5 linked regions of the Xenopus tropicalis genome follow. The protein of the gene in region 2 purifies or fractionates together with the protein of the main gene of each other region. This does not show direct contact. Links are inferred from orthologs where the notes say so. Each region holds a gene or a part of one and is shown on either strand. Other genes may lie near its edges. The genes, in order: timeless, clspn, atr, rad9a and cdc45.

Region 1 (6,114 bases), about 57 Mb from region 2:
CTAACATCTCCTTGCCTAAAAAAAACCAGAAGAAATACAAAAGCATATGATATATGTAAAACAAAGCAACCTTAAACAGAAACCAATGTGAGCATTGCACAGGAAAAAAATGATATCTAACAATTTGAATAATTGGACACTGCACAGCAACAGCTCATTTGTACACACCATGCTCTTCTGTCACAGAGTCATCATCACTGTCCACTATACGACTTCTTTTCTTTGATTTCTTTGGTCTATTTAAAAACATAAATCTGTTAGTTTGCAGCGGTGTCTGCTGAGAAGTCTACTATATAGAGGCAAATACTATCATGAAATGATATGCTATGCTATATGATTATGAAATTATGATATTATGAAAAAATAACTTTAGACACAGAGCAATGACCTGTGTGGCCTAAATTTATCTGTATTTTTATTATAGTGTTTAAAATGATTTATGAGAAACATAGGGATAGGAATTTATGTAAATTATGTCTTTTTCCTACTACACTTTGTATTGGTGTATCATTTCCCATCCCTTTTTAGGGACATTAAGCCTGTTATTCTTGTGCTACATCATTACAGGGCTTTGCCTTTGTATTGCCAGTTCTGCACTAAAACTTGAAGGCACCCTTTAACACTCCTGGCTCAACAGACTGGGGGTTCTCCCTTACAACGCATAGCGCACCTCTTACCTATTCGGTTTGGTTTCTCTCTCTGTTATGGCATCCATTGGCAGCTGCTCTGACTCCTTGTTCTCTGAAATATGAAGTGTCTTTATTAAAGTAAGCTTGTGGAATAACAGAAAATGAATATTTACAGTAAGTTTGATATATTAAGTGCCACATTTAAATGTCACAAACCATTAGTATTGTCTACAGAATTCTCTTCATCACTGTCAACCATTTTACTTCTCTTCTTTGCTGTCTTTGGTCTATTAAATGAAATAAACAAATTCATTTGAAAGCCAAGTTTCTTTATGCCCTTAATGACATATAAACCCTAAATTTTCCTACCATCTATATAAGTTGGATACATATACCCCACCCAAAAGCATAATTTGTACTGCATTTATTCCCCTCCGTTCACCAATGCCATCACATTTTCATAAAACAAATAGCTTTCACCAGGCTGCCATTATCCCTCTGACATCATCAGTACCATTTACATCTGCAAACAGCACATGTGCGCTGTAAAGTTTATGCAGTGATGCATGCAGGCTTATAAAAAGTTCTGCTTTGATTGAGCCATGTAATGGTTAAGCTGAGTTCAGGAGACAAGGTTAGGAGAAAAAGATAGGAGCAGACAGCTAGAGCAGAGATTCTATGGGAACCAGCAGTGCTATTTCTTTATTGGCTGCTAGACTGGAGGGCGTGTTTAGTAACCTCAGCTTAGAAGAACTGAGCATGTTCAGTAGCCAAGAGCCAAAGTCAGTTCTAAAGGGAGGGGGCAGAGTGGGTCAGAGAAGGAATCCCAAGTAATTATGGGGATGCTGCAACCTTACTATTAACAACCAGAGTGGCAGTTATTTAAAGATTTCCTTGAGGCTGTACACTGATTACATTTTTGTGTGGGGGGTTTATATATACTTTAATTAAATTGTTATTTATATGAATAGAATATGCCACCATTGTTACAATTTTCTACTTAGAAATAGCTATGACATATGATGAAAAATTAGAGTATTAAAATAGCAATAATTCACATAATTTATGTTACTTACCTTCTGGTTTTGCTTTGGGATTGTAATGACTTATCTGGGGATTTCTGATTTTCTTCTTGAAGGTCTAAAAGGAGAAGCACTAGTTAACTACTGCTATATTAATATATTACTTACATGTCTTAGATGCTACAGGCCTTAAAGGACATGTAAACCAAAAATGTTTTTGCCTAATAAAAGAAAACATAATTCTAAGCAACTTTCCAATGTGAAATTAATACAAATAACTTTTAAACCGCTAAATTTTTTTAAAAATGTAATTGCTATAGAAAGCAGCATTTGCTGAACTCCTGACTGTTACCTTTAGGGACTGGCAAACACTACTACTTATAATAGCAATTATATATACAAATACAAAGTCAATAACCATTGCAAATTTGTAAAAAAAAAAATGTATATTGCAAAGTTGCTTAGAATTATGTTTTATTTTATTGGGCAAAAAAAATTATATTTTGGGTTGACTTGTCCTTAAAGGCCAAACATGTAAATTATTGAAGCAACCTCTATTTGTTTACCTTGCTGAGCTTCTGATGATTTCTTTTTCCGTGCAAGTAAAAGTGCACGAAGTGCTTCTGCCCTCTGCTCAACATTTACCTCTTGTTCTTCAGCATTTGCAAGAACCTCACAGGCAACTGCTGCAGCCAAGGGAACAAGACAGGAGGCTGCCTTGCGCAGCTGTTCCGGACTTAATTTACCTGGGATGCGCCAGAAAGATTCCTATGAATGTAAATGAAGGTAAAATACTGTCACTGGAGCAGGTGGCTTTGACGGAAATAGGAGTTCAACATTATATGTGTTCAAATACCCACTGACCTCTTCATTGGAGAATAAACACAAAAAGAAAATTTTTGGACTTCCTGCTAAATAAACTTTTCAAAGAAAATTGGTTTCTAACCATTTGCTCTAGCCTCGAGAAAGCTTTGATACAACAGGGTCCTAATAGCATACTTCAAAGCCAAAGGTGCATAAATACAGCACTATATAAAGTATAAACATGCACAGAGAGTAATGGACATCCACAGATATATAGTTGTATAAGGCTTTAAACCCAACATAAAATGCTAAGGATGTATTTTTACCACACTAGATAAGGTCCTCACCCCAAACCATAAATAAGGAAATAGAGCAATCTCATATTTTTATAGAAGCAGGGATTATAGAGAAGGGACAGAAAAAAAACAAATCCCACAATCATTCTAATGGCTTTCTCATATATACATTTTAATCCATGGATGGTTACCTGCTCATTTGCAGGCGCACGGATGCCCAACTTCTTCAGCAGTTTCTTGAATGTTTTATTTTCCATAGCATCCTCATTGTCTTCCGTTAAAGGCACAAGGGGAATTGCCTGAGAAGAGCCTGGCAGTTACAAAACAAGCAACAATCAGTAAAGCTCACCCCTTGACATTGGGTCCGGGTGTACATGCACATGAAAGCAAAACATTAAAGTACCACAGCAAAGTGACTTCTGGGAAGGAAACCAAATTTTGCTCCTAAAACTTTCATTGATATGCATTAGCCTATAGGCTAAATCATAGTCACTAGGTTTTAAAACACAGCCAAGGCAGTTCCCAAATACAGACCAGCAGGTCAGGAACTAGGGGTGCAGGAGAGGCACATGCCTAGGGCTCAATGGTAGGGGGCAGATACACACTAGTCTTGTATCTCACAAGGGCCTCTTGATACTCAAAAACTGTTTTTCCTTGAGATATTCCACAAATGCAAAATTTTGCTTTTCAAACTGAAGCATTAAATCAGGCATAATCAAACATTTTAAACAGGGGACCAGTTTATGGTCCCTCAGACTGTTGGGGGGCCTGACTATAGTCCTCAAACTACAGCCCGGCCCCCCACGTCCTCAAACTACAGCCCACTCTCGCTGCCTGCTTCTCGATGCGGGGTCAAACTACGGCCCACTCCTGCGTGCTCCCGCTCCGTCCTTCCTCTCCCAGCTCCACTGCATCCCGCTGCCAGGGGTGAGGACACTGCAGTGGCCCGGTAAATTACCTTGGAGGGATGCCTGCACTATTTGCTCATTTATAAGAATTAAATGTCTTTATCAACAGCATTTAAAATAGCTAAGATAGCGTTTTAAAGGGGTTGTTCACCTTTGAGTCAACTTTTAGTATGATAGTAGAGTGTAATATATTGAGATAATTTGCTATTGCCCTTCATTTTTTATTAGTTGTAGTTTTTGTTATTTCACTTTTTGTTCAGCAGCTCTTCAGTTTAGAGTTTTTGCAGCTATCTGGTTGCTAGGGTCCAAATTACCTTAGCAACCAAGGAGTGGTTTGAATGAGAGCCTGGTATAGGAGAGGACCTGTATCGAAAAATAAGTTATAGAAAGTGCCAATAACAATAAAATTGTAGCCTCACAGACCAATAGTTTTTTGGCTGCTGGGGTCAGTAACCCCCAATTGAAAGTTGGAAAGAGTCATAAGAACAAAGCAAATAATTTAAAATCAAAGAAATAAATAATGAAGACCAATTGAAAAGTTGATTAGAATTGTCCATTGTATAACATACTAAAAGTTAACTTGAAGGTGAACCAACCCTTTAAGTCACAATACAGTGTTCTGGAGCAGCAGTTACCCACCATCCTCTTCTCTGTCTTCGGCAGTGCGGTTTAAACAGTTTTGAAGCCACAAAAGAGGACCAGATAAACCTGTGAATTCAAGAGGGGAAAACAAGTGAAAAAAAAAGGAATACAAATAAATAAATAAAATTATACATTTTATATAACTGTGTCTTAACCATTAACATTCCAATAAATTACTCTTTACTGAATCAGATGCTCCATATGTATTTTACATTTGGCATATGAGCGGACATTCACCTTCCTGCTGTAACTTGTGCACCAAATGCTTTATATTCTTATCGGTAAATGGATCCATTCTGCCACCTGTTTGCTCTTTTGCAATTTGTTTATAGTTAAGGTCTTCACACTCTTCTTCTTCTTCACTTGCTTCTTCTTCTTCCTCCTCCTCCTCTTCTTCCACATCATCCACACTGTGTTTTCCATCAAACCCCAGATCATTGAGAAACTCTTCTTCAGACTGAAAAAAAGACACACAAGTATATTCATATATTATACTAAATATTTTCTTTGTTTTGTTTTAGAAATCTCTTCATCTGACATGAAGCATGCTAAAGAATCAAATACTCCCACATTTTATCATAATTCCCCTTATAACCTATATTGGTTCTGATTATTAATTTGATCAGCAGCAATGAAGAGAGATGGGGAAGGTCTAGCAGAATGGCAAGTTAACGGTGTCAGCCCCCCCTCCACTGCAGGAATATTACAATTTGGAAGGAATTCTCTTATGTCTGTTGCATTTTGTTGTATCCGTCAATTTTGACTCTCTCCTATTCTAGTGGGGGGGGGGGGGGGGGTGTTAAGGGGGGAGCACAGGTGAGGATTCCACTAATGATTTGCTTTCAGAAATTATTATAATGGCATATGTTGGGTTAAATTCAGTGACAATCCATTTTATGCACAGACTGTAAGTACAGTGCTTGTTAACCACATCAACGGTGATCCCTCTGGCATAACTGGTGTAATTATACTGGCGTTTAACAGGTTAATGTAGTGCTTATACATTTTTTGAAAGTGATTTTCATGGCATATCTAGAATTAATGCTTTTGAAAGAAGTAATCTTTATCCATTCCTACAGGGATCATCCTGCTGAATACCTACTTTCTACAGTGAAGTTTCTGTGATGTCAAGCATTAGTTCAGTGTGCAACACTCATTTTCAATAGTGCGTTAATGGAATATATGAAGTAAATGCAATGCTCAGAATTCATTTTCAGCAGTGACCTTACTAGCATGTCTTGGGTTATGCAGTGCTCTGAATCAATTTCCTTCAGAGATCTTGCTGGCATATCTGGGCATAATGTAGTGCTTATTATCTATACTGGCATGTCTGTTTCACTAAGGACAAACAGAATGCCACAGGGGGTGTGGTAGCAATGGTGTGGCATACATTTTTCTGAGACAGCATTTTTTTAGGCCACAGGTTTCCTGCAGTTGGGAGTACTTGAATAACAAAAAGTTTTGTCTCCCCACAAAATATATATGTTGAACTGCAAACTTGTGAAATAATCTACCAGAAATAACAGCACTCCCTTCCTTATATGCTCACTATGCTGCTTTTGTCACAATAAGGAGCTTGGCGGTTAGAATTACTACTATAAGTACAGCCATGTGTGCAATAGCATTAATATCATTCAGATTCTTCTTCCCCCAGGCTGACTGGGGGATTACATGGACTTAATGGATGTTTATGCTGGGGCAGGGGAGCTACCTACTCTAGGGCAAGAAGCAACTCAATGTGCACTCTGTGCAAGGATCTATGTTCTACAAACGTCCATAAATGATCTATGTACTACGAAGGTCTGAGCTTCAT
Region 2 (6,637 bases):
AACAAATAGCTTTGTTTGATATTTTGATGGTTGCTAAACTGTAACACTTGCTATACTATGCTTTTCTTTAGCTTAATGATACTCAAAAATCACATTGATACTTACAGAATGACTATTCAGTTTTCCTTTTATTTTTGTGCGGATAGCATCAAGAGATTCCTCTTCTTCATTAGAATCCACCCCACTTCCCACTTCGTTTTCAAAAAGATCTCCATTGAGTAGGCAGCCACTGTCATTTAAATTTGGCCTATCCTCCTTCACTGCCTAAAAAAACAAAGACAGTCAAAAATTATCTATAGCATAGGATGATTTCTCTTCCAAAAGAAATAAGTACTGCAGATAGACATTTTTTTTTATACTTTCATAATTTTTAAAAGGTTAAGAAACTAAGAAGTCCATCGGAAGTGTTATGGACAGAAATGCATGCAAGACAAGGTCTACTAACAGGTATATACACTACTTAGGGCCAAGGTCACCAATAGTGAACAAGGGTCAGTTGGCTTGAAGTAAGGGTCCTGTGCATGCCAGTCAAGTTCTTCCTATTCATTCTAGCCCCACTTGTGTATGGACCTCACTTTGCAAGCGGGCATTACTGTGCTGAAACAGGAAAGTGTCTTCCCAAAACTTTTGCACAAGATAGGAAGCACAGAATTGTCAAGGATTTACCTGTATCATGAAGCCTTAAGGTGTCTTTGCACTGAAACCCAGGGGTCATATAGTATGTTATGTATATTAGGAGTCACTATAGAGGTTTGAAACATTAACGCAATCAAAACATGAAAAAGCAAACAACACGCATGATTTCTGAGAGCACCTTAGTAATGGTCTAGTAGTTTGTTTATATACTCATATAAACAGCTAGTTTTGTATTGGTCCTTATCTTGGGTATGTTATTTAATTCAAAATTCTCACACAAAATATAAAGAAGGGTTAGTATATCTAAAAAGTAGTACTTTTGACTTTTGCTGTGTCCTCCTTTTAACCTTCTCCTCTTTCTGTATTTTGTGCTTCGATTTATTTTTCACTCTTTTCTCTTTATTGGTGTCACCTTGTTTCTTCAAGGACTTGCTTGTTTTATGCTTGACTGTAGGGGATTCTTTCTCCAAGCTACCGTGGTCTGACTCAGGTCTCTCAATAGTATTTTGACGTGTACTCATTTGAACATCAACCTCGTTATCACTGTTGTCACTATCAAATAGAGCTGACTGGATTCTTCGTGGCTTTTCTCTATGAGCAGAAATATTGTTCTCCTCATCATTTTTAGAGTTCCCCTTCACATTATCTGCAATTTTACTTGTTTCCATTTCTTCATCACTGTCACTTTCCACCAATATTTTCTTGCTTTTAGATTTTTTACACACCAAGAATTCTTCTTCATCTGTATCTGTTTGGGTAAAGGATGGAAATAGCATATTATTGAAATGAACTTTTTAATCAAATATCAAGTTAAATGTATGGACAAAGTATGGACAAAGCAACTTTCACATAGTTTTAATCTCAAGACAATGGCCTAAAAAAAGAAAAGAAAAAAAAAGTCACTACCTTCTGCAGGGCAGACAGTCAGCTGAAACATCTAACTAACACAAGGATTATTTGAGAGATGATAATCTAAGCAGAGTCCATACTTTACTAAGCACTAAGCATGTCGAAGACCAATGATACAGACTTTACAGATGATGCCTTTTTTATAACTGTAATATGCAATGTGATTTAAAAGGAGAAGTCACTTGGGTGTGCCAAAATGTCAGGAACCCCCAAGTGACTTTAAACTCTTACCTTGTACCCCTGTTCGGAGAAAACCGCACCAGCCCAGGGTACCTGCAGCGAGCGCCTCGTCTTCCATGTTCGCGCTTGTGCATGCGCAGTAGAGTGAAAAGCCGCACAAAAAAGTCAGCTTTTCACTCTACAGCGCATGAGCCGGCCCATGGATTTTGCTGGCAGAGTGAACATGGAAGGAGGAAACGCTCGCTACAGGTACCCCAGGCTGGTTTTCTCCTAACAGGGGCACCAGCCCGGGGTACAAGGTAAGCGATTAAAGTCACTGGGGGGTGCCTAACATTTTGGCACCGCCAAGTGACTTAGCCTTTCCTTCTCCTTTAAATGTTTAATCACCGCTTATAAATCAAGACTGCTATATCAAGATCAAAAACTTATCTGCTACAATCTGTGGGGCACTTGTGTCTAAAGGAAATTCTTGCTTTCAGAAGGCATAACTTTATTTCAACACACCTCTGTCCTCTATACAATCCAATATTTTGTTCTGATCATCAGCAGAAGCCATTTCACAGCTGCCCTGACCACTGTCAGAATCTGTCTCCAAGATCTTCAGACTGATGCTGTCTTCTGGTTCCAAAACTAACTATTTAAAACAATAATGTTAAAGGTTTTAGAATAAAAAACACCAGGTAAAATTATTGAACATTAAAGACATTTAAACTACAGGTATGGGACCAGTTATCCAGAATGCTTGGGACCTGGCGGTTTCCGGATAAGGGGTCTTTCCGTAATTCAGATCTCCTACCATAAGTCTGCTAAAAAAATTCTATAAAATGTCTTTCTCCAACTGTGTTTCAATTAATAGAAAAAACTTTGTGTTATCTCCTGACTTCAAAAGCTGATTGTAAATGCAGACCATTATAAATGTCCTTACCCCATTCCCCTCTTTCTTTCTGTACCCCATTTCTGCTGAAAAACCAAAAAATAAAGAATACATAAAAAAAAAAAAAAAAAATTCTATAAACACTAAGCCCAATAGGATTGTTTTGGCTCCAATACGAATTAATTATAATTAATAATATATATATATATATATATATATATATATATTTATTTATTTATTTATTTATTAGAACTCTCTACATCATAAAGTTAATGAAAAGGTAAACAACCACCTTAAGGTAAAAAGTAGAACTTGTTATTTTTCAGCTATTCTTTACACAGCTTTCTATTTATGCCTTGTTCCCAAACAGTATGGTCAGTAAGGGATCCAAATATAGATTATAGAATTTCCTTATGCAAGCCCCAAGCAAATGTCACTGGGGACCAGGCCTGGACTGGCATTTAAAATAGGCCTTGGCATTTTAAGTATACAGAAGCCCAAACCGCCCCCACCAGCCCACTAAATTCAATATTTCAATATCTTTTTTTTTTTAAATATTCTTAAGGCATCTGAGGACATACACATTATGTCCTTTCCCAGGCTTAAGCACTAAAAAGGCAAGAAAAGCTTTGTTTATTAAACAAACCACATCATAATTTAATGCAAGCATTGGATCCATTACCCAGAAATCCATTATCCAGAAAGTCCCAAATTACAGGAAGACTATCCCCCATAGACTTCATTATAAGAAAATAATTCTATTCTTTAGAATGATTTCCTTTTTCTGCATAAATAGAACAGTACAATATACTTGATTCCAACTAAGACATAAATAATACCCATTGGAGGCAAAACAATCCTATTGGATTTAATTAATATTTAAATGTTTTTTTCAGTAGACTTAAGATATAGAGATCCAAATTACTGAAGGACCTGCTTATCAGGGAAACCCAAGGTCCCAAACATTCATATATTGTATTAATATCTATTACATTTATTGTATTCTATTTACTAAAATAGGCTCAGACTCCAGATTTAGAAATGTAAACATCCAATAACACAAGACAAGTTAAACAGTATAATGAGTTATACTTCTCTCTATTAAGATTATGCCCCTTAAGTTAGTTATAAACCTTAGAATTTGCAGAACATATTTGCCTGCAGCCCTGCACTCCTACACATGGGTTGCACCATAAGCACAGGACTGCAGATGAACAATCTAAACAAGGGAGTAACTATAAAGAGAGCAGACCCTGCAGTTGCTGGGGGCCTAGAGGGGCACTGGCCAATAAGCTTTTTGCCAACACTTACTCGAACCCTAAAACACATTTACATTCATGTATAAGTCTCGTAGACACGGCTATATTATCCTAAACAAAACGGAAGAAACACAAATACATAAAGAGCGTATTATTAGATATACCAGGTATTATCGGTGCACACGCACGACAAATGTTAATTTTAAATGCAGCCCAAAACCAGAGATGGCGTTTTGGTTTTCACACCTGGTTTTTGTTTTTTCATGAGCTTTGCGGTGATTTAGTCAGCCCGTCCCTTATACATAGGTATATCTATAGTCTGTGCAAGTGAACACGATTGCCTTTGTTGTTCTACCCGACTGGTCTAATCCAACGCAGGTATAGCCAAACGGTAAGAAGCCAAGTATTTATTCCAAGATGACTACCAGTGCTGCCTATATAGAGTAGTTCGCCTCACCTGCTCTTCTTCACAAAGCGCGGCCATGGTGCTATCTGCTGACAGCTCCCGCCAATCTTCCCAGCTGCCGCCTCAGAATTCGCGCCCTGTACGTGTGGGTTGAGCAGAAAAAAAGCCATCCAATGACTGTCACCCACAACAGTGACGTGTTATTTTCTGTATGCGTTCAAAGCCTCGTTCTCCATCTATTTCCTCATTTTAGAACGTGCACCAGCAACTTGGTTTCCGCCTCCCAAACTCAATGATTGCGCCGCCTGGAGACCTGGTTTGGAAAGTCACCGATTCAAGATTCATCCCCTGTGCCCCAGAAAGATGCCCTTTAAAAGTTGGTAGCGAACTGTCGGGCGGATACCCCTGGAGGAACTAAGCTTAAAGACTATTTAGGATGACGCTTGAACTTTGCAGTCTTAGATATTTTAGAAAACTCTGATTAATTTCTTATTTAGAAGCACTTTAATTGGGTATTAACAGTTCCAGAAGTGAGAGGAACTTCAGTATCTGCCTAGTGCTGAAAGTGGTGTTTTACTACTTTTTATTTTTTTCTTTGTATGTGGATGGCCATAATACATGTATGTGTTATGTATGTGTAACCCTTTCTTGGCACTGATATCCAGGGCCACACTGGGGCGCAAACAGGAAAAATCCCAAGCCTCCACTAAGTGGGAGACCATCAGAGGATTATGTATCCAAATGGCTACCAGACAAATGAAACACAATACACAAAAAAGATCAGCCCTTGAACAGCAACTAGCACAGTTACAAACATCAAAAAAAATTCCCCATCCAAAAAACTTACAAAACAAATCACAAAGATAAAAGGAGAGCTTCATCAATTAGATTTGATAAACATGGAAATAGGACTTAGAAAATTGAAAATAAATAGTTATTACAAAAGAAACAAAATAGATCTACTGGCAATACAAATTAAAAACATTAGAGTTAGAACAAGTGATCACAGACAAAACTAAGCAAACTTTACATAACCCAAAACAAATTGCAGAAGGTCTTCCTGAAGGGGACTAACTCTAAGAAGCCTGTCACTACTGGGAACAAAAATGAAGTATTTGATGATCTGACACATGGGTTCCCCAAATGTTGCAAGTAACCAAATTTTTACATGCACACCCAGGTCTCTGATTTTTCTCCTTGCTGCTCGGCAATAAGGGAGATGGCCCTCCCTGGTATGTATAAATATATAAATAAATAGAAATCCTGGCACACAAAGGCTTCCTGTAGGGGACTACCCCCCAAGTTTTATTATGCCAAAAAGAACATACAATGTTTTGGAGGGCGTGCCCTTTTGTCAGGTGATAGCCAGTGATTATACAATCCACTTTTTAAATACAACAAAAACCCAACCATTTATGAATATGTAATAAATCAATATAAGTCCAAGTTATAGTCCAAACATTGTATATATGTGTCCCAAAAAAGTTCATTCCTGGTGAATCCTGCAAATAAAGATCAATTGAAGGCATATCCACAACATGTTATATAACTTTTAACATTAGTATCATGTTTCAAATCATATACTTGTATAAAGCTAAACTTGCTATTTAGATGCATGATCCTGTAAAGCCAACCTTTTTAACACAATAAAAGGAAGTGAGAGTTAGTAAGAACTACTGGTTATTTGGGAAAAAGGAAGATTTCAAGGGAGCCTGAGGAGAAAACGCATCAAAGTTAAATGTTACCTTTTAATGAGGTCCCATTGGGAAAAAAGTGTATATTTGCTGGCAGCCCTGCATAACTGCCAAACTCTGGTTCTGTGTCTCCCTACTAGTGCTAAGAGTAAAGGCATCTGCAAAGCCCATTTTAGGGAAAGATTCTCCAAATTCACTAAAATCAGTGAAAGGAACAACATCCCCTAGTCTGGGGAACCTATTGCATCTTGGGAAATAGTGGGAGATTGTGTATCCAGGCTGATTCCAGTAACACAATATGCAATACATGTCACACAAACCCCCATAATACAGGGAAGCCTTAGTGAGTTGGTGCTCTGGCACACGGGGAGATTAGTCGCCCGCGACAAATCTCCCTGTTCGCGGGCGACTAATCTCCCTGGATTGCCATCCCACCGGCGAAAATATAAATCGCCGGTGGGATGGCATACGCGGCGGCGCGATTTCAGTTAAATCGCCGGTGGGATGGCAATCCGGGGAGATTAGTCGCCCGCAAACAGGGAGATTTGTTGCGGGCGACTAATCTCCCCGTGTGCCAGAGCCCTTATAGAGAGACAAAGAGAGTGAGTGAGAGAGCTCCAGGGGGTGCAGCTTAGTTACAGTCATATACTACATACTTAAAAAGACTACAGGAAATTGT
Region 3 (6,114 bases), on a different chromosome or scaffold from region 2:
GTCTTCACCCTAATACCTATGTACTTGCTAGGGCTTATAGGGACAGTATACACCCCTTTCAAAATGAGCTTATTGAATTGGGCTTGTGCTGAACATACTTTTTGCCTATTGTTTTAATAAAGAAATATCTATGGTTTACGTTATTTTTGGCACTAAACAAGAATACAAAGCCAGTTTCACTTTACTAGTTCCTGTCACTTACTGATAAAATGAACTTCAAAGCAACTGATAAAACTAATCACCAGTCCACTGAGAAACCCCTAATAATGAGCTGCTTAAAGGCTGCTTCTTAAGGCCGTGGTAGACAGGGAGATTAGTCGCAGACGACTAATCCCCCCGATATGCCATTCCACTGGTTTGACTGTAAATCGCTGGTGGGAAGGCATATGCGGCGCTGCGATTTCCTGAAATCATGGAAGTTGCCTTGAGAGGAAACTTCCACGATTTTGGGAAATCACGGTGCCGCATATGCCATCTCACCGGCGATTTACAGTCAAGCCGGTGGGACTGCATATCAGGGAGATTAGTCACCCGCAACAAGGGAGATTTGTTGCGGGCGGCTAATTTCCCCAAGTACCACTGCCCTTAGGGAGGTTGCTTGTTCAAAGGCAGATAAGGAGCTCTGAACAAATTGCTCTGTTTAAAAAAGGAAGGGGGGGGGGGGGTTAAGGTCAGTGAAAATAGCCCAACTTTCAAATTAAAGCTTTATAATGGCAAAAGAAATAGGATTTTTTTTTAATTAAAACATAATGTAATTTCAACACGTCATATTTATTGTGTTAAGAAATGATTTAAGCATTTAAAAAACCCCAATCGGATTGTTTTGCTTCTAATAATGATTAATTATATCTTAGCTGGGATCAAGTATAAGGCACTATTTTAATATCACAAAGAAAAAGGAAAATTAGCACATTAAATAGGATTGTGATGAAAATACATTCTGCCTATCGTTTTAAGTTGAACAAATCAATTTTCCTATGTTTTGCCTTTACAGAGCACAAAATTGAAAGTTGGGCTAAGTTCACTGAACTCAATTCCCCCTTCCTATATAAACTGGGTAGTTTGTTCAGAGCTCCCACCTACTTTTAAACAAACAAACCCCTACCTTCATGAGATCAGAAAGTGACAGGAAAAGAAACCATAGGAATTTCGGAATTAAAACAATAGGCAAGAAGTATGTTAAGTACAAGTGCTATAATTGAGCTCATGTTAAAAAAGGGTGGTATACTGTCCCTTTAAGGCAGGGATATCCAACTTTTTATACCCGTGAGCTACATTCAAATGAAAAAAGTGTTGGGGAGCAACACTTGCATGAAAAAAGTCCCTGGGGGTTGCAAATAAGAGCTATAATTGGATATTTGGTAGCCCCTATGTGGACTGGCAACCTACAAAAGGCTCGGTTTGGCTTTACACCGGGTTACACTTACTTTTTATTATTTGGGCTCTCTGCTTTTCATTTTCCCTGCTTGGTTGCTAGGGTAACTGAATGCTAACAACCATAATTCCAAACTGGAGAAGATAAATTTATCAAAAACCACAAAAAATTAAAAATGAACACCAACTGCAAATTGTTTCAAAACACAGAGAGCTACTAGCCCAAAAGGTGCTTCAGTGACATCCAAATTAGCAGTAACTATACACAAAAGTATTAACAAAGGATGGGTGGCTCAAGGGAATAAATACAACTACACAATGACACAAGTGACACATTCCCAAGATGGGGAGCTCCTGTGACAATATTAAAGGTCTGGCCTGTTACAGAGATGCTGAACCTTTAGGCTGGTGCAATAAGCTAAGTATAGAGAATACTGCATTTATAGCCATATTAATTGTTTGTGTTTAATTCCCCTATAAAGTGATCATGAAGTATTTTGGCTCGTGGTGTTGTTTTTTTATTGTTCTTATATATGCAATTCTGCTTATTGTTATGCAAATAGACACTATAATAAAGTGTGCCTTTTTATACCAATAGCATATGTCTCCGAAAATCCCCGTCTATATCCACATGTCTATAAACAACAAAAAATCAATATTACTGCTTACCATGAATGTAGAGTATTGCATCAAATATTTTGATTATCTTCATCAGAATGTCATTTATACTGGCTCGCTGGTGTGCAGAATCAAGAATCTTTCTGCAAATTTTAAGTATTTTTAGTATATCCTCTGGACTGACCCAGGAAACCTGAGGTACCATTTCTACCAACTGAATGCCAGAAGTATTGCTCAAGTCAGATACTGACTGATTAGTGCTGTGAACACAAAATAGTACAAAGCAGGATTACACAGGACAACAAAACATTAAGAGTTTCAAATAATTTGTAACTAGGGACAAAAGGACAGACCTAACCCTAAACTACTTAAAGAACCTCAGCAATTTCAATGGCCCAAAACTGGAGTAAAGGGCTTAAAGGGGTTGTTCACCTTCAATGTTTAAATCTTATTAAACCACCAACAATGATCTCAGCATGTTAGAAAATGCCACTGTAAAAGCTACATTTTATACCTGTTAAATCAGTCCTGCTCCTGTCTCTCTGCTCAGTTTTCTGAAGGGATAAGAATGGCCTATTTTGAACCTGATGCAATAAGAACTTCCTATTTGCTTACATCATCACATCCAGGCTTTGCCGTACTTTTTTCCTATTGGACCAATTCATTGGTTGCTTCTGTACTCTAACCAGTTGCATAAATTAAAAGGCCATTGGCTAATTTCTCCCTTGCAATGACACAGATAAACAGACTCAGCATATTACAAATCTAACATACTGTTATGTTAGATTTACAGCACTGTCACAGGCACAGACTGACAGGAGACACAGCCAATAGGAGTTAAGTCTGCTGCCAGTACTATGCGTTACATCATAAAAGGAAGTAAAAAGGTGACTGTAGTGTCTGCGTAGACTTAAAGGATCAGCAAAGGGATGATTCTCTTCAGCTGCACATTTTTGTTAACTTTGTATATGGCTAAGATTGTTCTATTAATGTGAACTGTTACATTCGTGAACGTTGTACAAAGGCAAACAACTCCTTTAATATTACATTCAAGAAAGAAGCACAGAGAGGCTGCAATGTAAAGTATGAAGATAGAAGAGGGCTGCCTTTATCTTACTGTAATAAATGCATGCAATAAATATATTGCAGACACTTCTTGCAATAATAAATATGTATGTACTAAATTCTCAGTGTCAGGTAAATCCAGCCTACAGAGGTAAACTGTAATTTAGTGTGAGGCACCGAGCTGCACCGAACGTACATTGCAGGAGCTGGAGTTATCACACCCTGCAGATAGAACATTTACGTTTGTACTAAATATTAAATGTTAATATCATTGAGTATCATTTATTAGTCACTGTACCAGTATAAAGCAACTAACTTTCTGTATTATTATTCTGTAAAACATTATAAATACTACCAGATGACAGCTTATCATAGTAGTAGCATGAAAACATCAAATGCAAGCACATACACATACACTTACTGTGTTGAATTTTTAGCGAAGATATGAACTATACTGAGAGCAGCAACACATATAGTTGTATTGACACCCTCCAATAAAGAAACCATCTCTTCTTCTGAAACCTCATCGCCTTCCAATTTGCATAAAAGAGAGGAGAGTTTTGCACTCACTGCTTTCCAAAGCATGCTCTTTGTCTTCATATCCACAGGTGCAGGTCTATCATCAAGAAAAATATTGACTTTGAACACTGATCATTTACATTGCTTATTTATAGTGATGAGCGAATTTTTTCGCCAGGCATGGATTCGCAATGAATTTCCGCATTTCGCCATTGGCGAAGCGCATTTCGCAAATTTTATGGCGAAACGGGACAAATTAGCTTATCACAACTTATTAATATCAGTTGCTGTCTGTTTACATATTTACACCTTTCAGATGTATTACTTTATAAGGATAACCATATTATTAATTTGCAACTATTTTCTGTCTATTCTGTTTTTTCATATAAGCAGAGGTTTTTTTTTTTTTGTAACTTTGTTTATTGATGAGATTGTACTGCTTTTTGAGGCACATTTGAATGCATTTATGGTGTTATCTATGGATAGATTGGTGGTTACTTTGTATAGTTTTTAATATTTATTGGTGTGATATTGATAATAAGATATTAGCAGGCTGGCCAGCCTTTTGCTTTTCAAGTAAACATTTCAAATATTGTATTGTTCATATTACCTCATATTCCTCCAAATGAGGCTATTTTAACCTTGGGCAGAGCCACACCATATTATATATATATATATATATATATATATATATATATATATATATATATATATATATATATATATATATATATATATATATATATATATATATACACATACACACACACACTTTTCTTTTTATTCTTTTTCAGCAACAAAATTAGCTGTTCATTAAAGAATAAGTAAACCATTTTTTTTTTTTTTTAAATCTCTAAAATTACTTTTTACAGCCCCCAGAATAACATACCATTCTCCCTGCTTTTGTTTCTGTTACAAACTTAACAGCAGTTCTTTTACTTACTTCCTTGTCTAGCATGAAACTCTGTCCTCTTTTGCTTTCTGGGCATTCCTTCTCTCTCCGACTATGATGACCCCAAAAAGGTGTGGCATTCCCGTATGATTTTAATTGGAGCAGAGGCAGTGAGCATGCCCAGTAGGCACCTATTTGAAGTCTTTATAATCAGAGAGAGAAGGAGTGCTAAGAAAGCAAAAGGGGGAAGGAGCTTCAAGATGGACAAGGAAGTAACTAAAAGCACTGGTGTTCAGTACATTGTATAGTTGCACATAGGTTAAGCTGGCCATACACGCATCGATGATATTGTATTGGATATTTCGTACGATATTCGGTACATTTATGGCGGGCTTGTCGAGGCGACCTATATCGCAAAAGGCTGTGGATATAGGTTGTCTCATCGATTGGGTGGGCTAAAAGATTTTGATCGGGCGCCTTCAATTAAAGAAGGTAGAATTTCTATTGTTTCTACCTCCATATTGGATGATTCAGCCCTGAACGTCAGTGGAGGGTGGAAACGATCTTTCATGCGACCATCGAAGTCGCTACGTGTATGGCCACCTTAAGATAGCGTTCCCACAACCCCCAGAAGACACAAATTGGGGGAAAGAATGTTCGGAAAATATAGTGTACTTTCTTTGTATGCCAACACTTCCCTCCAGAAAGCCCGTATCAGGGGGCACTCCCAAAAAACACGGTAGTAAGTACCCACATTGTTTGAACATTTAGGACACATATCTGATGCACCCTGGTATATTTTAGCTTTTTTGTGAGGAGTAAGATACACTCTATAGAGAAATTGTACTAAATTATAATCTTAAACTTCACAGAATTGCTTTCAAATTGCAGACAGAACATAGGTCTCATAAGGTCTTGTATTAAGTAAAATCATTACGTTGATGGTATGTTCCTCCTCAGGGGTTTTGCAGTTAGGCTTAGACGTGGTCGCTTCTCCTGAACTTCATCGCTGCTGCTGCTCCCACCACCCTCTGAGTCTGTGCTTAAGGGCTGCATGCTTTGCTGCTGCATGTATGCCAAACTTTCTACTCTTAATGCTTCATGAAGGGGGAAAACCAAGTACTGTTAAAAGAAAAAGTTATACAGACAATGACAAACATAAGCATACTGTGGAGCAGATTGTAAAAATTAAGTTGCTGAATGAAATAAATTAGAAATAAGAGGAAATAAGAGGAGGAACAAGGATTTTTGTAGAAAATGCAAAGCATATATATATATATATATATATATATATATATATATATATATATATTTACACATATATATTATCTATCTATATATCATAATCAGATTTTCAGTGTGAACCCTAGGAACACATGATCAGGTGAGTCTGCACTGCATGGAAAATCTGGCCACGCCTACATCTGTACACCCCATCCACTTTTGTAGCAGTAATGTGTCCTTAATGTGTCCATATTGTGTCCAACAGTATAATATTGTTAATATTATTATTCTTATATTCACATTAAAAGGAATTACCTACCTGAGACACTGCACCCAGGTCTAATAAAAAGTAAATTCTCTTGCTGTAAGCAGCATCAAGGCTGCTGAACCCATATTAAATCTTATCACCCCAGTTTAGCCAT
Region 4 (6,587 bases), on a different chromosome or scaffold from region 2:
GATTTTTAGGTATTTCATCAAAACTGGCAATTTTGGGAAAGAATTGCGACTCAGTAGTTTGGAGTAGAAAGACATGGGTACCAATTTTGAATTCGTCCGAATGTGTACTTTCCAAAAATATATGATTTTGGGGGGTCAATGTATTTTTTTGTGTTTTTACCCCACAGAAAATGCAGTAAATGTGTTGAATTTTCAGTAGCTAAAGAGATCTCCTGGGCAATTTGTATGTACTAACTTCCTTTTGGGGTCTCTAAATTCCAGATACATCGGTGATCCTATGCACAATGGGCATCAAACTGTTCAGTGGACCCCTGGCTTTCATATTTAGGGTGTGTTTTCTTTGTACCTAATGTTATATGGGAGATAAGGTGCTTGAAAATGGAAGATTTGAGGTGATTTTTTAGAATTTTCATAATTTTTTATAGAAAATGCTAAATTCAGTAAAGCATTGCCGTTTGGTACTTAGGAGTTGGAAGACATAGTTACCCATTTCGGATTCGTCAGAATGTGTAGTTTTCAAAAATGTATGGTTTCCTGGGGTAAACCTAATATTCCAGGATTTTTGGCTTTGGAATGTAAAGTATGCCGTATTCTGCTGTAATGCTTTTAAAATTTAGTAATTTACTGCTGGGAGTTTTTGATCTATAGAAGTCAGAAATCTCAATAAAACTATACATATCAGGTATTGGCACGTTCGGGAGACATGAGGCTTTCCAAATCAGTTGAATATTTGTCCATAAAATAAAATGTGTTTCTGGTATAAATCCTTATATCATGAAAAATAGCATTTTTTCTTTTTTTTTTTTGTATTTCAAGCTCTAAATCTTGTTCCAGAAGTGGAAATACACAAAAACTCAGGTAGATTTGGAAAGCTCAGGTTCTCCTGAAAAAAACAATATATAGTTTGCCTACCTAAACTTAACCCTGCCCCCAGTAAAAGCCCCTACATTGAGAGAGCACAGAATGTTTACAAAACGTCTGGCACTGGGGGGAACTGAAATGACGAATTCGGCTGGCACTTAAAGGGTTAAGCCTATTGAATTATTATAAGTAAAGAGTGAATTTACTGAGAGGCACTTTTATAATTAATACCTGTGCGGCTTTTTTTTTTTTTTGGTGAGTAAAACAAGGAAAGGAAGGTTTGTTTTAAAAGCTTATCAATCAAAATTATTTATCAAATAGATCTTTCACCTATTGATAAATACACTTCTAAAAATCCCATGAATGAAATGGAGTGTTTCTGTGACGAGATCTAATTTCACACTATGATAAATCTGCCCCTCAGTGTTACTATATATTGGACGTTTCATAGTTAATAGGGGTTAGGGAAAAAAAAAAAAAGTTGCTCAAGTCCAACCCCATCGAACAGCCCATGATGCACATTCAGCAGGGAAAAGAAGTATTGCACACATCAACATTTTTCACAGTAAATATATTTCAAAAGGGGCTATTGACATGAAATTTACACCAGATATTGGTAACAACCCAAGAAATCCACACATACAAAGAAATCAAAACAAATAAGTCTTTAAATTAAGTTATGTGTAATAAAGTGGAATGACACAGGGAATAAGTATTGAACACATGAAGAAGAGGCATGGAAAGCAAAGAAACCTGCTGACATTTGTCAGTATTTTGAAAGCAATCCTGCCCCCTATCAGTGCAAAATAATTTCAGCTGGCTTAGTCCTAATAAATGGTTTCTCATTACCAAGGTATCACACAAGAAGCATCTCATGATGGGTAATAGCAAAGAGCTCTCTCAAGACCTTTGCAACCTTATTGTTGCAATACATACTGATGGCATTAGTTATAGATGTATTTCTAAGCTTCTGAATGTTCCAGTGAGCACAGTTGGGGCCATAACCCGGAAGAGGAAAGAACATCATTTCACATTAAAAGGGCACGACCAGGTGTTCCTCCCAATATTTCTGACAGAGTAATCAAAAGAATAATCAGAAAAATTGTCCAAGAGCCAAGGATCACTCATGGAGAGCTTCAGAAACACCTTGTACAGTTGTTTAAAAAAAACAATAAGTAATGCACTCAACCAACATGGCCTCTTTGCAGGCTCAACGCGCAAGACACCACTGCTAAAGAAAAAACATGTTGAAGCTTGGTCAGATGAAAAAATGACACTGCACATCACATCATTTCAAATGAAAGGTGGGCATGTCCTGACAGAGACCTGAGATGATCTATAGGGAGCTCCAATAAAGGGGCCATTTTTGACAGTGTTCAATTTAGCCAAAAGTGAAATCAGCACCATATATTATTCATAATTGCCTACAAAATTGGGGTTTTTTCAATGTTTCCAATATGTCTCCTTTAAGCTGAAAGTATTTATCAGAAAGGGAAAGGTCTATAAAAACACTGCACTGAGTTCTCTCAAAAGAAACAGGATTTGTTGTCTTTGTTTTCCTGTGCCAGAGACATGCAGCTCTCTCCCCCTCCCTCAAGAATGCTAAGAACTCACTTCCCCCCCCCCCTCTTAGAAATGTGTGATCTGAGCCAATCAGTAGGAAACTTCCTCATCGTCTTACAAACTGAGCATGTACAATGGTCTCGGTCCAGGAGTGAGGAATTATGGGAACTTTCTTTTCAAAGCTTAGATTTTTTTTTTCCTATGAGGTTTCTGATCATCTGAACAGGAGAAATATGGGGGGACTTAAAGGCACTATTGAGAAAACTGAAGGTATGCCTGCAGCTTGAAATTAACTATTAGCCTTTCCTTCTCATTTAAAGGGAAACGAAAGGTAAAATCACTTGGGGGTGCCAAAATGTTAGGCACCCCAAGTGACTTTAACCGCTTACCTCGTACCCCGGGCTGGTGCCCCTGTTAGGAGAAAATAGCACCAGCCCGGGGCACCTGGAGCGGATCGTTTCCTTATTCCGGCTTCCGTTTCTGGAATGCCAGCGGTGGGCGAATGCGCAGTAGAGTGAAAAGCCGACTTTAAAGTTTAAGTTCGGCTTTTCACTCTACTGCGCATGCACGCGCAGCGAATCAGGCAGAGGCAAGCGCCGGCAGCTACCCCGGGCTGGTGCTGTTCCCTCCTCACAGGGGCACCAGCCCGGGGTAAAATGTAGGTGGTCAAAGTCACTTGGGGGTGCCTAACATTTTGGCACCCCCAAGTGACTTTGACTTTCTTTTTCCTTTAAGCCCATTTATTCAATTTCAATACACAGAGACATGTAACATCACAAAGTTTCTTCCCTATCTATGCACCTTACACTATATTACCTGTACATGGAATTGCAAATAAAAGCAGTAATTCTCTATCCCTTTCTATTGTCTGGGTCTTAAGCTGGCCATACACGTGGCAATCTGACGATGTTTCGTGCAACCATCGGTAAGGAGGTAGAAACAATAGGATTTCTACCTCCTTCTGCTCCTTCTGCTGATTCAGCGCTGAAGGGAGATTTTGGTCAGGCGCCTTCTATGGCGCCCAATCAAAATTTTCAAACTGGTCCGATCGGCGAGTCGGCCGATATCAGCAGCTTCCTGCGATATCGGTCGACTCGCCGACATACCATACACGCACCGAATATCGTACGAAACGAGGTTTCGTACGATATTATTGGTGCGTGTATGGCCACCTTTACTCTTAAAACAATGTTACAGGGTCAGGTCTCCTCTAGGTATTTTTATCCAGCTGCCTTGTATTATTGCTCCAAAATCAAAGCCAGGAGTGCAGAGAATGTAAGCAAGACAAATAAAGCTTTTTAGATATTACATTAACAAATCACTTTAAAACTACTGAAAGTTTGTAAATAAAGTATATTGGACAGTTAATTAGAATTGCATTACCTTTCTATAAGCAAAACAAGTTTTTGAAAGGAGAACCCCTTCAATCTTCATTTAGAGAACTTCCTCTTGCACTACAGCTTAAAAAAAAAAAATTAAAAAAATAGTCATAATGCGTATTTGAAAGTATTGTTACCAGTTCAGTAGAGACCCATAATATGCATTTCTATGGATTAATGCATTCGTGTAGGTCAAATTTTAACAACTAGCCAATTAAAATTGTTAAGCATTAATGCCTCTAAATGACGACTGCATGTACGTTCGTGCTGATCCAAAGGCATATTCAAGACAACTTATTTGGAGGTTTTTGGTCTTAAAGTAACGAGTTGTACCATCTTACGCTTTAGTCTAAACGTTCTCCTTTTCAGAAAAAGGATATACTATCAACTAATTTTAAAGGTCGGCCCCGCTCACATACCGCCCAATAGTCCCGCTTTTAGCTGGACAGGTCCGCTTCTCTTAACTCAGCCCTCAGTCCCGACTCGGTCTTAAACGGTTTCCAAAAGCCATTTATATATCTAGTTCCTGTGGCCGTGAGTGACGTCACAAACACGTGAAGACGTGGCGACGTCTCCAACACGTAACATTCAGCGCCTTCTTCAAATGCCTGTGTAAATAGATTATAGGTGGTTACTCGGGGATGCTATGGAGAGAATGGCTCATTAAAAGTAGTGTCACAGTGCGCTATTGAGTATTGGGTTGCGCTGGGTAGCATTATTTTTTTCTTGGGACAGAATTAAATGTAGGAGTTTATTCAGTTGCCTGAATACTGGGACACTTGATGTTCAGTGGAGGCTGTGGATCTATTCTATGTAAGGTGTGTGCCCTTAATTTTAGGGGGTTGTTGGAGCCTGCTTATATGTGGAGTGCTTGTATTTTTTGGGGTAAGGGTGCTGATGAGTTTTGGGGGTGTGCATTTTTTTGAAGGGTGGTTATTGATTTTTTTTTTCCAGCTGGGTTGACGTGTTGCACAATTTTAAACTATGGGGAAGAGTTTTGGAGTGTGCTTATGTTTTTGGCATGTTAGATAATTTTGGGGGAGGTTTTGTGTATGTAACCCCTTTTTGGCTAAAAAGCACTTTAAATGCCAGGCTATGGTTAGAGCATGGGGCACATTGGGACTCTATTTCAAAGGGGTGGCCTTCGCTAAGTGGAAGGCAAAATATACGAAAAAGTCGCAAAATGTTCGTTTCCAATCCGAATTTTTCCCATTCGAATTCGTGGATTAGTAAATCAGCCCCCTAGAGTGTGCTATGACAGAGTCTAGTCCTGAGACTAACTTTACCTCGTTCACGGGGCCCTGTCCCCGACTTTACTTCAAAGAATATGGCTTACTGGGGCCTATGTCTGCACCCAGGCTCAATGGAGCTGTTGTTGGGAAGCAGACAGGCAGCCACACCTCCTTGCTAGACATTATATGAGGCTGCAAGGAGTGTGGACAACCATATGGGCCAATAAAGTATAGGCATAACTATAAACTGTTACAAAGGCTTCCAGTAACAAGGGATCTATGTGAAGAGGTAGGGATATCACTCCATAGGGCATTTAACCCTATGGGTCCCTACATTTGCTTAAAATTTCGGTTGTGCTTTTTTTTTTTACCCAGAATATTGAGGGGAGATTGTGTTAGTAATATGGGTGGCATAAGTATTTAGATGTGCTAGTGGGGGAGGTACAGTGTGTGGTGAGATTACATGAGCTGTGGTAGGTTTATGTCTGTGGGGGTATTTGACTCTAGAGCAGTGTGTAGGGAAACTAGACCTACCTATGATGTGAGTGGGCTGTGGCAGCAGGTGAGGTCTGTAGTTATAAATGGGGGGGTGGAGGTGTGTAAGTAAGACATTATTTATGTATCTTAGGTATGTGTATGCCTTGCAGTGTATGTGTCCCTAGTTGTATAACTTGTATACCTGACTGTGGGAAAGTGAGGCACCTCTAGGTATGTTTGTGTCTTTGGGGTTAGGACAATGAGGGGGGTAGACCTTCTATTTGTCAGGAATGGGGGGGATAGGTTGGGTCAGTCTGTGTGTGCCTCCAAGGTATGGTTTTGATTGTGGGTACTGTGAGAGATACAAGCAGTAAGAGCACTGTTTGGTGTATTTTCCACCATTGTTAAAGGTGAGATACAGGTAGCACCAGGGAAAATGCCTGGTTTAGCAGCAGCTAATGCTGTATTCATGCAAGCAGAGTAAAAAAAAAAGCCGGATAGGTGAGTCCTGGAGTAAATGGAGGGTTAATAGAATAGGTCCTCCATTCCATACTCCAATTTAGCATTTTGATTTGGCCAGCTGTAAGAAGCTGCCCGATTAGGCTGCAGGTGAGCAACACATAAAAGAGCTGTGGGATTACACGGCAAGGGGGGTGATAGGTGACTGGTGATTAAGGTTGGGGGACTCAGAGGGGTTCACTCTCAGATCAGGGCACAGGGCAGGAAGGTTGCCTGCCTGTGTTAGGAACTACCAGAGGAGCTGAGGGTGCCACCTGCAACTGCAAGGAGCAGAGGGAGCAGTAACCAAGTAAGGAGTCACAGAGAAATGTATCTCAGAGCAGGGCACAGGACAGGAAGGTTGCCTGACTGTATGAGGAACTCCCAGAGGGGCTGGGGGTGCTGCCTGCCACTGCAAGGAGCCGTGACCATGAGTTTAAGTGCTGGAATGTTGAGGCTTGGTGAGAAGTCTAATTGTGCCAGAAGCTGTTGAGCTGGTATCCCAGGAGGGGAGAGACTGCAGGGCTGAGTGAATAGCCCAGAGTGTTCACGAGTGTGAGAGGCACTTTGGTTGTGT
Region 5 (6,114 bases), on a different chromosome or scaffold from region 2:
AGCACAATTTCTTCAAAAGTAGTATAAAAGCAGTTTAACATACTGAGTTATTCGGTCCTGAACCCACTGGTCTGTCAGCCCAACAATTGCCCACCTGCAAAAGAAAATAAACATTCTCCTTTTATCTGGAAAATACATAATTCAGATACAAAAAAACGCTTAATCTACAATGTAATACCTCATTATACTAACTAATGCATACCTACCATAACATATCATTTGAATCCTTAGACATAATCCAAGCCAACTCAAACATCATCATTGCAGACTATACAAACAAAAGAAATAATTAGTTATCATAAATACAACAAAACATGAGCAATGGTTTCAGGTGCCAAAGTGGTATATCAGGATGATAGGAATTAAAAATTTCAAATTATAATAAAAAGTCATTATAGTCCAAAGATGCCAATTAATTCCAAAAAGGAAAGTTAAATTAAGCATTAGTGCTGGCAAGATATATAGATTATATATAAATTTCTTTCTATAATGGAAGTGCATAACCAGCTTTACTACTTACTGATGTTCCATGATATTCATACTGCTCATAGTCAAAAAGAATCTCTCTCCTGCAAAGAAACAAGGGACAGCTAAATGCCTAGTCTGTCAACAGTAATCAAAAAACAAGTATAGATTGATTCTATAATACAAATGTAACTAAAGGGGGAAGCTTAAAGCTTACTCAAATGCAACATACTCAGTGGTGTTCCTGTTACCTTATACAGTGGTTGGCTATTGTCAAGTCAAGCCTCAGTAAGCCACAGATTTGGTTTATGTAGCATAAGCTATATTAGTGTTGGATTCCAGGTAATGGTAATTTTTAAAAAAAAATTACTTCAGGACAGGCTTATGAGTAAAGTTTCACTTGCTTCAATTATTCAAGTTTAAGGCTACAGTTTGTTACTCTTACATTGCCTTTTCAATCACTACCTTTCTGCCATAAAATGACAAATAAAATTTGCCAGTTCCTTGTGGAACAAAGCACCCAAGCAAGCCAGGCCCGGATTTGTGGAGAGGCCACAAAGGCCCGGGCCTAGGGCAGCAAAAGTTTAGGGGTTTTAGGGGCCGCCCTGCCGCAACAAAATTTTTAAATTTGGCTCCCATACGGAGCAGTCGGGACCTCTCCCCACTGCTCCGTATGGAAGTTTAAAGGAGTGCATGCACACTCGCGGCTGGCGCGCGCGGGGGGCCACCAACAGGAGCGGCCACGGGGCACCCAGAAGACAAATCCGGCCCTGAAGCAAGCCTTACATGGTCATGGTTAAGACACCTGCCTGTCAATTTCTTCCACTGCTTAATCAGACCCAATGTTCATTGCTTTGTACATAGGGAAATTATTGTGTACAAAAAAAAGAAAGCCTTCCCTAAATTGCTGTCAGAGTAAGAAGCAGAGACCTTATAAGAGTGTCACAAAGCAGGAAGCACAGAATTGTCAATGTTATTGTACACTGTAGGGTTAAAGTTTGCTTATTAAAACCAGGGGACCTAGTACTAAACAATAAAAAGAATACAATGACATTCTTAAAAATTATGTGCTCACTAATTTGTGGCAACAGTCAGGAAAGCACTTAGTTTCAGCATAGTAATGCCACCCTATGCGTAGGGAGGTCCATGCAGAACTGGTTTTCTAAGAATGAAGTAGAAGAACCTGACTAGCCTGCAGACAGCCCTGACCCAATGCCAACTGCAAGCCAGTTCTAATAGCAAATAAGCCCAATTATCTTATTTGCATGTGCAACAACATTATTTTGTCTCAGACTGTACTATGAAAAAAGGTAAACATAATAGCTTTCTTGGTCAAAAATTACAGACAACTTGATATATCGTATGGAATTACCAAAAAACCTGCACAAATTTAAAAAAAGATGCACAACTTTTTGGTACTACCTTCGAGCCTCCCACTCCCTCCTCTGGCGTCTCCTCTCTATCCTTCGTTCCACTGCTGCCTAAATACAGAAGGTTGAACAGTATATGTTAGTAAGGCTTTTCAAGCAAAACTTGAAATCAAGGCAGACTGACAAAATATGGCTTAACTGGACCAAGAATTAACAATGGGTTACAAAAGCTACACTTATATATCAAATTAAAATTTTGTTACTGAGAATTCACCAAAATTCCTTAACTGCTAAGATAAACTGTGTTTGCACATAACACATTACAGACATATACCTCATCAAATCGCCTCCTCTTTCCAGAAGGTTCTGCTCCATCACTTTCATTTCCAGAATCATCCCCATCCTCCTCATCTTCATCATCATTGAAAATGTCATCATAAGCAGGTATTTCCAAGTCATCATCCTGCCGGATCAGCAACTTGATCTTTAAATTTAATGGTAATTTTTATTAAATAAGCAGATCAGTGTTTCTACTTCTGAAAGATTTCCAGTATCACTCTGTAGACTACATACCTGACTATCATTGTATATATTAACCACATCTATTGGTCTGTGAGTGTCACATATGTAAAAGATAGCCTCTTCTTGGGGCTGTAGAGTCTCTAGAAGGTCTATGTTTGCACCACAGTTTATGAGAACAAAGTAACGGAACTGTAATTACACAATGGGGAAAAATTATACAGGCAGAATTAGCACTGCCAGGAAAACAAAAAAAAAAAAAAAAAAAACACAATAAACTAGGACTGGGAAGGCAGTATACAAAGTGCTCTTGCCCAGGTGAGTAACCTCTAAAATGTTACAGACGTCCTGAACTTTTCACTGATTAAATAAGAATGCACATACAGCAACTTAAAGTGGTTGCTCACCTTTATGTTAACTTTGAATATGTGGCAGAATGGCAACAATTGGTCTTCATTATTTAGTTTGTACAGATTTTTTTTTTTTTTTTTTTTTTTTTTAATTATTTGCCTTCTTCTTCAGACTCTTTCCAGCTTTAAAATGGGGGCCAAAAAACTATTGCTCTGTGAGGCTACAATTTTATTGTTACTTTTTATTACTTATCTTTCTATTCAGACCATTTCTCTTATTCATATTCTAGTCTCTCACTGCAACTCTACCTTAGTAAACCCCTGGTTGCCAAGGCAATTTGGACCCTAGCAACCAGATAACAGCTAAAATTCCAAACTAGAGAGATGCAGAACAAATTAAACATTCTAAAAAAAGCAAACCAATTGCAAATTCTCAGAATCTCCCTCTCTACATCATACTAAAAGTGAATTCAAAGGTGAACAACCCCTTTAAGAACTAGTACTAGAAAGCTTTTCTTCACTCCTTTTAGCTACATTCCTGTAGCTAAGCCATCCCATTTTAAGCAATTAGATCCCCTACATAATGCATGAGATGAATGATAATGCTTGAAATAAACATCATTGTATAACTGCATTCAGGGAATTTTTATTTGAACGTGCCACTGGCCATTTAAGAAGGAGCATCAAAGCTAAACCACAGTTACTGATATTATATTTATAAACTTCTGCCGTAAGTTGAATGATGCTGAAAGCGGATGTACAGCTAGTTGCCCCTGCAACTAAAATCACCTCTGGCCTTATCTGGAAAGAAGGTGATGGGTAATAAAATTGCAGACTGTATAACAGATATAAGATGCAGCCAAACTAGACACCTAGCACTGGTGAGGTTACATATGCTATAAAATGAGAATTGGAAAAGAAACAGTACAAGAATGACAGATTACCTGTTCTTTATGTTCAAGAAACAATGTTTCAAGTTCCTGCCAGCCAGAGACTGGGACCAAGGTATACTGTACATGATCACACTGAAATAATGCCTGTGCACAAAAAAGATTAACACTGGTTAAGCTATCAGAGAAGACATTTAATACAAAAATCATATCTCTGTTTACATGAGGGGGTTTCAGCGTCATTGTGCAGCCTTATATAGTTAATTATTTTTAGCAGCTATCCAATTAAATTAAATGATATTGCACGCATCATCTGTCTAAAAGTTTTGTTCTTGTCCCTAGAGTTTAAACAATGCAGCAAGTCACCGTTCCTCCAGCTAAGACACCAACTCCCACAATGCATTGTTGCATTACACTATGGGAACTGATGCTTTGTCTGTAAGGAGATCAAGATTTTATTTAATTTATTTTTATTTTAAGTTCTTATAAGTCAGAAAAAAATATAAAAAGGCATATTGCTTCAATATTAAAATGTACATATACTTTTAAAATGGAGTTCCCATTTAAGGCTTTGCTTACACCGGATTTGTTTTGATTGTTAAAACAGTCCAACATAGCAGATGAGGGAGGGGGCAATTTAGTTGTATACAGATTCTTAAAGGACATGTAAAGCCTACATTTGCCTACAATATATATCAGGTGGGCACGTCTTCCCCCACCCAAATGGCATAATTTGCACTGCATATATCCCCCTCTGTTTATCAGCACAATTACATTTTTTCTAAAGCAAATAGCAGCTTTCACCCAGTGGCCATTTTTCCTGATACATAATCAAATACATTTATATCTGCAAACATACACACACAGACCCGAATTCAGCATACATTTCATAAAGAATACAGGCTCACACAGGCAGAACTGTCTTCGATAAAAGTTCTGCTTTGTTTAAGCTGAGCTCAGGACAGGAGGTTAGAAGAAAAACATTGAAGCAGACAGCTAGACCTGAGCTTCTATGGGACCCAGAAATGCCATCTCTTCATTGGCTGCTAGACTGGAGAGCGTGTTTGGTAATCGGAGCTTAGAACAACTGAGCATGCCCACAAGCCAGAAGTCAAAGCAAATCTCTGAGGGAGGGGGCTGAGTGGGTTACAGGAGGAGAAGGAAATCTAAGTGATTAATGGGATGCTGCAGCCTTTCTATTAACCTCTGGACAACCAGTGTGACAGGTATTAAAAAAAGATTTCTAAGAGGCTGTTTGTGCGTGGGGTTTACATGTCCTTTAAAGAAAACTCCTAAAACATCAATTAATGTCCATGCATCCAGAATACTTTAAACATTTGTGACTAGTCGTATAATACAAATGATCTTGCACTTGTTTGCCCTTTACTAGTACACCCAGGGTGTATCAAATGATGGGTTTACTTGGTGGGTAATTTGGCCAGCATACACTTAAAATGAGAAAAAAAAAACAAAACTACTTTTTAGACATTTTTAAATTTCTTAAAAATGCTAAATAGTCTACCAGTTCACTAAGAAAAATCAACAGTTTTCAGCCTATATTTAAAGTGCTAAGACTACATATTTTATGCTTTTTTGGTGCTAGATTTTTAAATGGCAGGTACCTTTAATGCATTAAGGAGAGGCATGCACCAAATCCAGGATTTTGGATTATCCTAGCACTGTTTGCAGATTTTTTAATTCCCCTAAACTAAATGGTTATTAAAATCACATGACTTTAAAGAGCTGGTTTGGCCCAAAAAATGGCTCACTACTTCAAGTGCAGGTTATCACTGTCCAGCAGCTGGGCTCTAGAAACCTGGTCTTCATCTTTGATGGGATAGTGTTTCTAGAGCACACTGCCCGATGTTATGATATCAGCCAAGGTGATAGGGCAGTTTGAGTTAAAGGAACAGTAACACCAAAAAATGAAAGTGTATAAAAGTAACTAAAATATAATGTGCTGCTGCCCTGCACTGGTAAAAGTTGTGTGTTTACTTTAGAAAGACTACTATAATTTATATAAATAAGCTGCTATGTAGCCATGGGGGCAGCCATTCAAAGGAGAAAAGGCACAGGCACATAGCAGATAACAGATAAAACACTATTGTATTCTACAGAACTTATCTGTTATCTGCTATGTAACCTGTGCCTTTTCTCCTTTTTTACAGCTTGAATGGCTGCCCCCATGACTACACAGCAGCTTATTATATAAATTATAGTAGTGTTACTGTAGCAAACACACCAGTTTTACCATTGCAGGGCAACAGTGCATTATATTTTTATTACTTTAAAGCTCTTTCATTTTTTAGTGTTACTGTTCCTTTAATAAAGGGGGAAGAATTGGAAAATTTAAGACCAAGCACATTACCACTCTGGACAATTGAATAGAACAAATATTTGTTCACAATTGTTGCAATATTTTGTAAATGTGCTAATAAGGGTTTGGACTAAACTTCTAAGGTGCATTTGACCAAAACCAAAAAATATGACTACGTAGTTATGGTAAAAATAAAAGTTAAA

The links.
Region 1: the proteins of clspn (region 2) and timeless purify together in Homo sapiens (affinity purification with western blotting; 4 studies listed by BioGRID). This does not show direct contact. The link is inferred for Xenopus tropicalis from reciprocal best matches to the Homo sapiens genes CLSPN and TIMELESS.
Region 3: the proteins of clspn (region 2) and atr purify together in Homo sapiens (affinity purification with western blotting; 3 studies listed by BioGRID). This does not show direct contact. The link is inferred for Xenopus tropicalis from reciprocal best matches to the Homo sapiens genes CLSPN and ATR.
Region 4: the proteins of clspn (region 2) and rad9a purify together in Homo sapiens (affinity purification with western blotting; 3 studies listed by BioGRID and IntAct, with this or other methods). This does not show direct contact. The link is inferred for Xenopus tropicalis from reciprocal best matches to the Homo sapiens genes CLSPN and RAD9A.
Region 5: the proteins of clspn (region 2) and cdc45 purify together in Homo sapiens (affinity purification with western blotting; 4 studies listed by BioGRID and IntAct, with this or other methods). This does not show direct contact. The link is inferred for Xenopus tropicalis from reciprocal best matches to the Homo sapiens genes CLSPN and CDC45.

The regions. Positions count from the first base shown.
Region 1 is NC_030678.2:138,485,176-138,491,289, forward strand, and holds part of timeless (protein timeless homolog), read right to left. Parts: intron 4,759-6,114; coding exon 4,539-4,758; intron 4,368-4,538; coding exon 4,299-4,367; intron 3,062-4,298; coding exon 2,943-3,061; intron 2,420-2,942; coding exon 2,218-2,419; intron 1,770-2,217; coding exon 1,706-1,769; intron 917-1,705; coding exon 846-916; intron 742-845; coding exon 678-741; intron 237-677; coding exon 169-236; intron 16-168; coding exon 1-15. UniProt on the Homo sapiens protein: Plays an important role in the control of DNA replication, maintenance of replication fork stability, maintenance of genome stability throughout normal DNA replication, DNA repair and in the regulation of the circadian clock.
Region 2 is NC_030678.2:81,832,286-81,838,922, forward strand, and holds the start of clspn (claspin), read right to left. Parts: upstream 4,479-6,637; 5' UTR 4,343-4,478; coding exon 4,316-4,342; intron 4,305-4,315; exon of another isoform or gene 4,105-4,304; intron 2,360-4,104; coding exon 2,230-2,359; intron 1,385-2,229; coding exon 954-1,384; intron 265-953; coding exon 106-264; intron 1-105.
Region 3 is NC_030681.2:119,652,624-119,658,737, forward strand, and holds part of atr (serine/threonine-protein kinase ATR), read right to left. Parts: intron 5,591-6,114; coding exon 5,406-5,590; intron 3,674-5,405; coding exon 3,479-3,673; intron 2,253-3,478; coding exon 2,044-2,252; intron 1-2,043. UniProt on the Homo sapiens protein: Serine/threonine protein kinase which activates checkpoint signaling upon genotoxic stresses such as ionizing radiation (IR), ultraviolet light (UV), or DNA replication stalling, thereby acting as a DNA damage sensor.
Region 4 is NC_030683.2:57,497,430-57,504,016, reverse strand, and holds the start of rad9a (cell cycle checkpoint control protein RAD9A), read right to left. Parts: upstream 4,264-6,587; 5' UTR 4,223-4,263; intron 3,885-4,222; 5' UTR 3,808-3,884; intron 1-3,807. UniProt on the Homo sapiens protein: Component of the 9-1-1 cell-cycle checkpoint response complex that plays a major role in DNA repair. The 9-1-1 complex is recruited to DNA lesion upon damage by the RAD17-replication factor C (RFC) clamp loader complex.
Region 5 is NC_030677.2:154,232,949-154,239,062, reverse strand, and holds part of cdc45 (cell division control protein 45 homolog), read right to left. Parts: intron 3,742-6,114; coding exon 3,649-3,741; intron 2,547-3,648; coding exon 2,409-2,546; intron 2,320-2,408; coding exon 2,170-2,319; intron 1,947-2,169; coding exon 1,888-1,946; intron 570-1,887; coding exon 521-569; intron 269-520; coding exon 207-268; intron 95-206; coding exon 44-94; intron 1-43. UniProt on the Homo sapiens protein: Required for initiation of chromosomal DNA replication. Core component of CDC45-MCM-GINS (CMG) helicase, the molecular machine that unwinds template DNA during replication, and around which the replisome is built.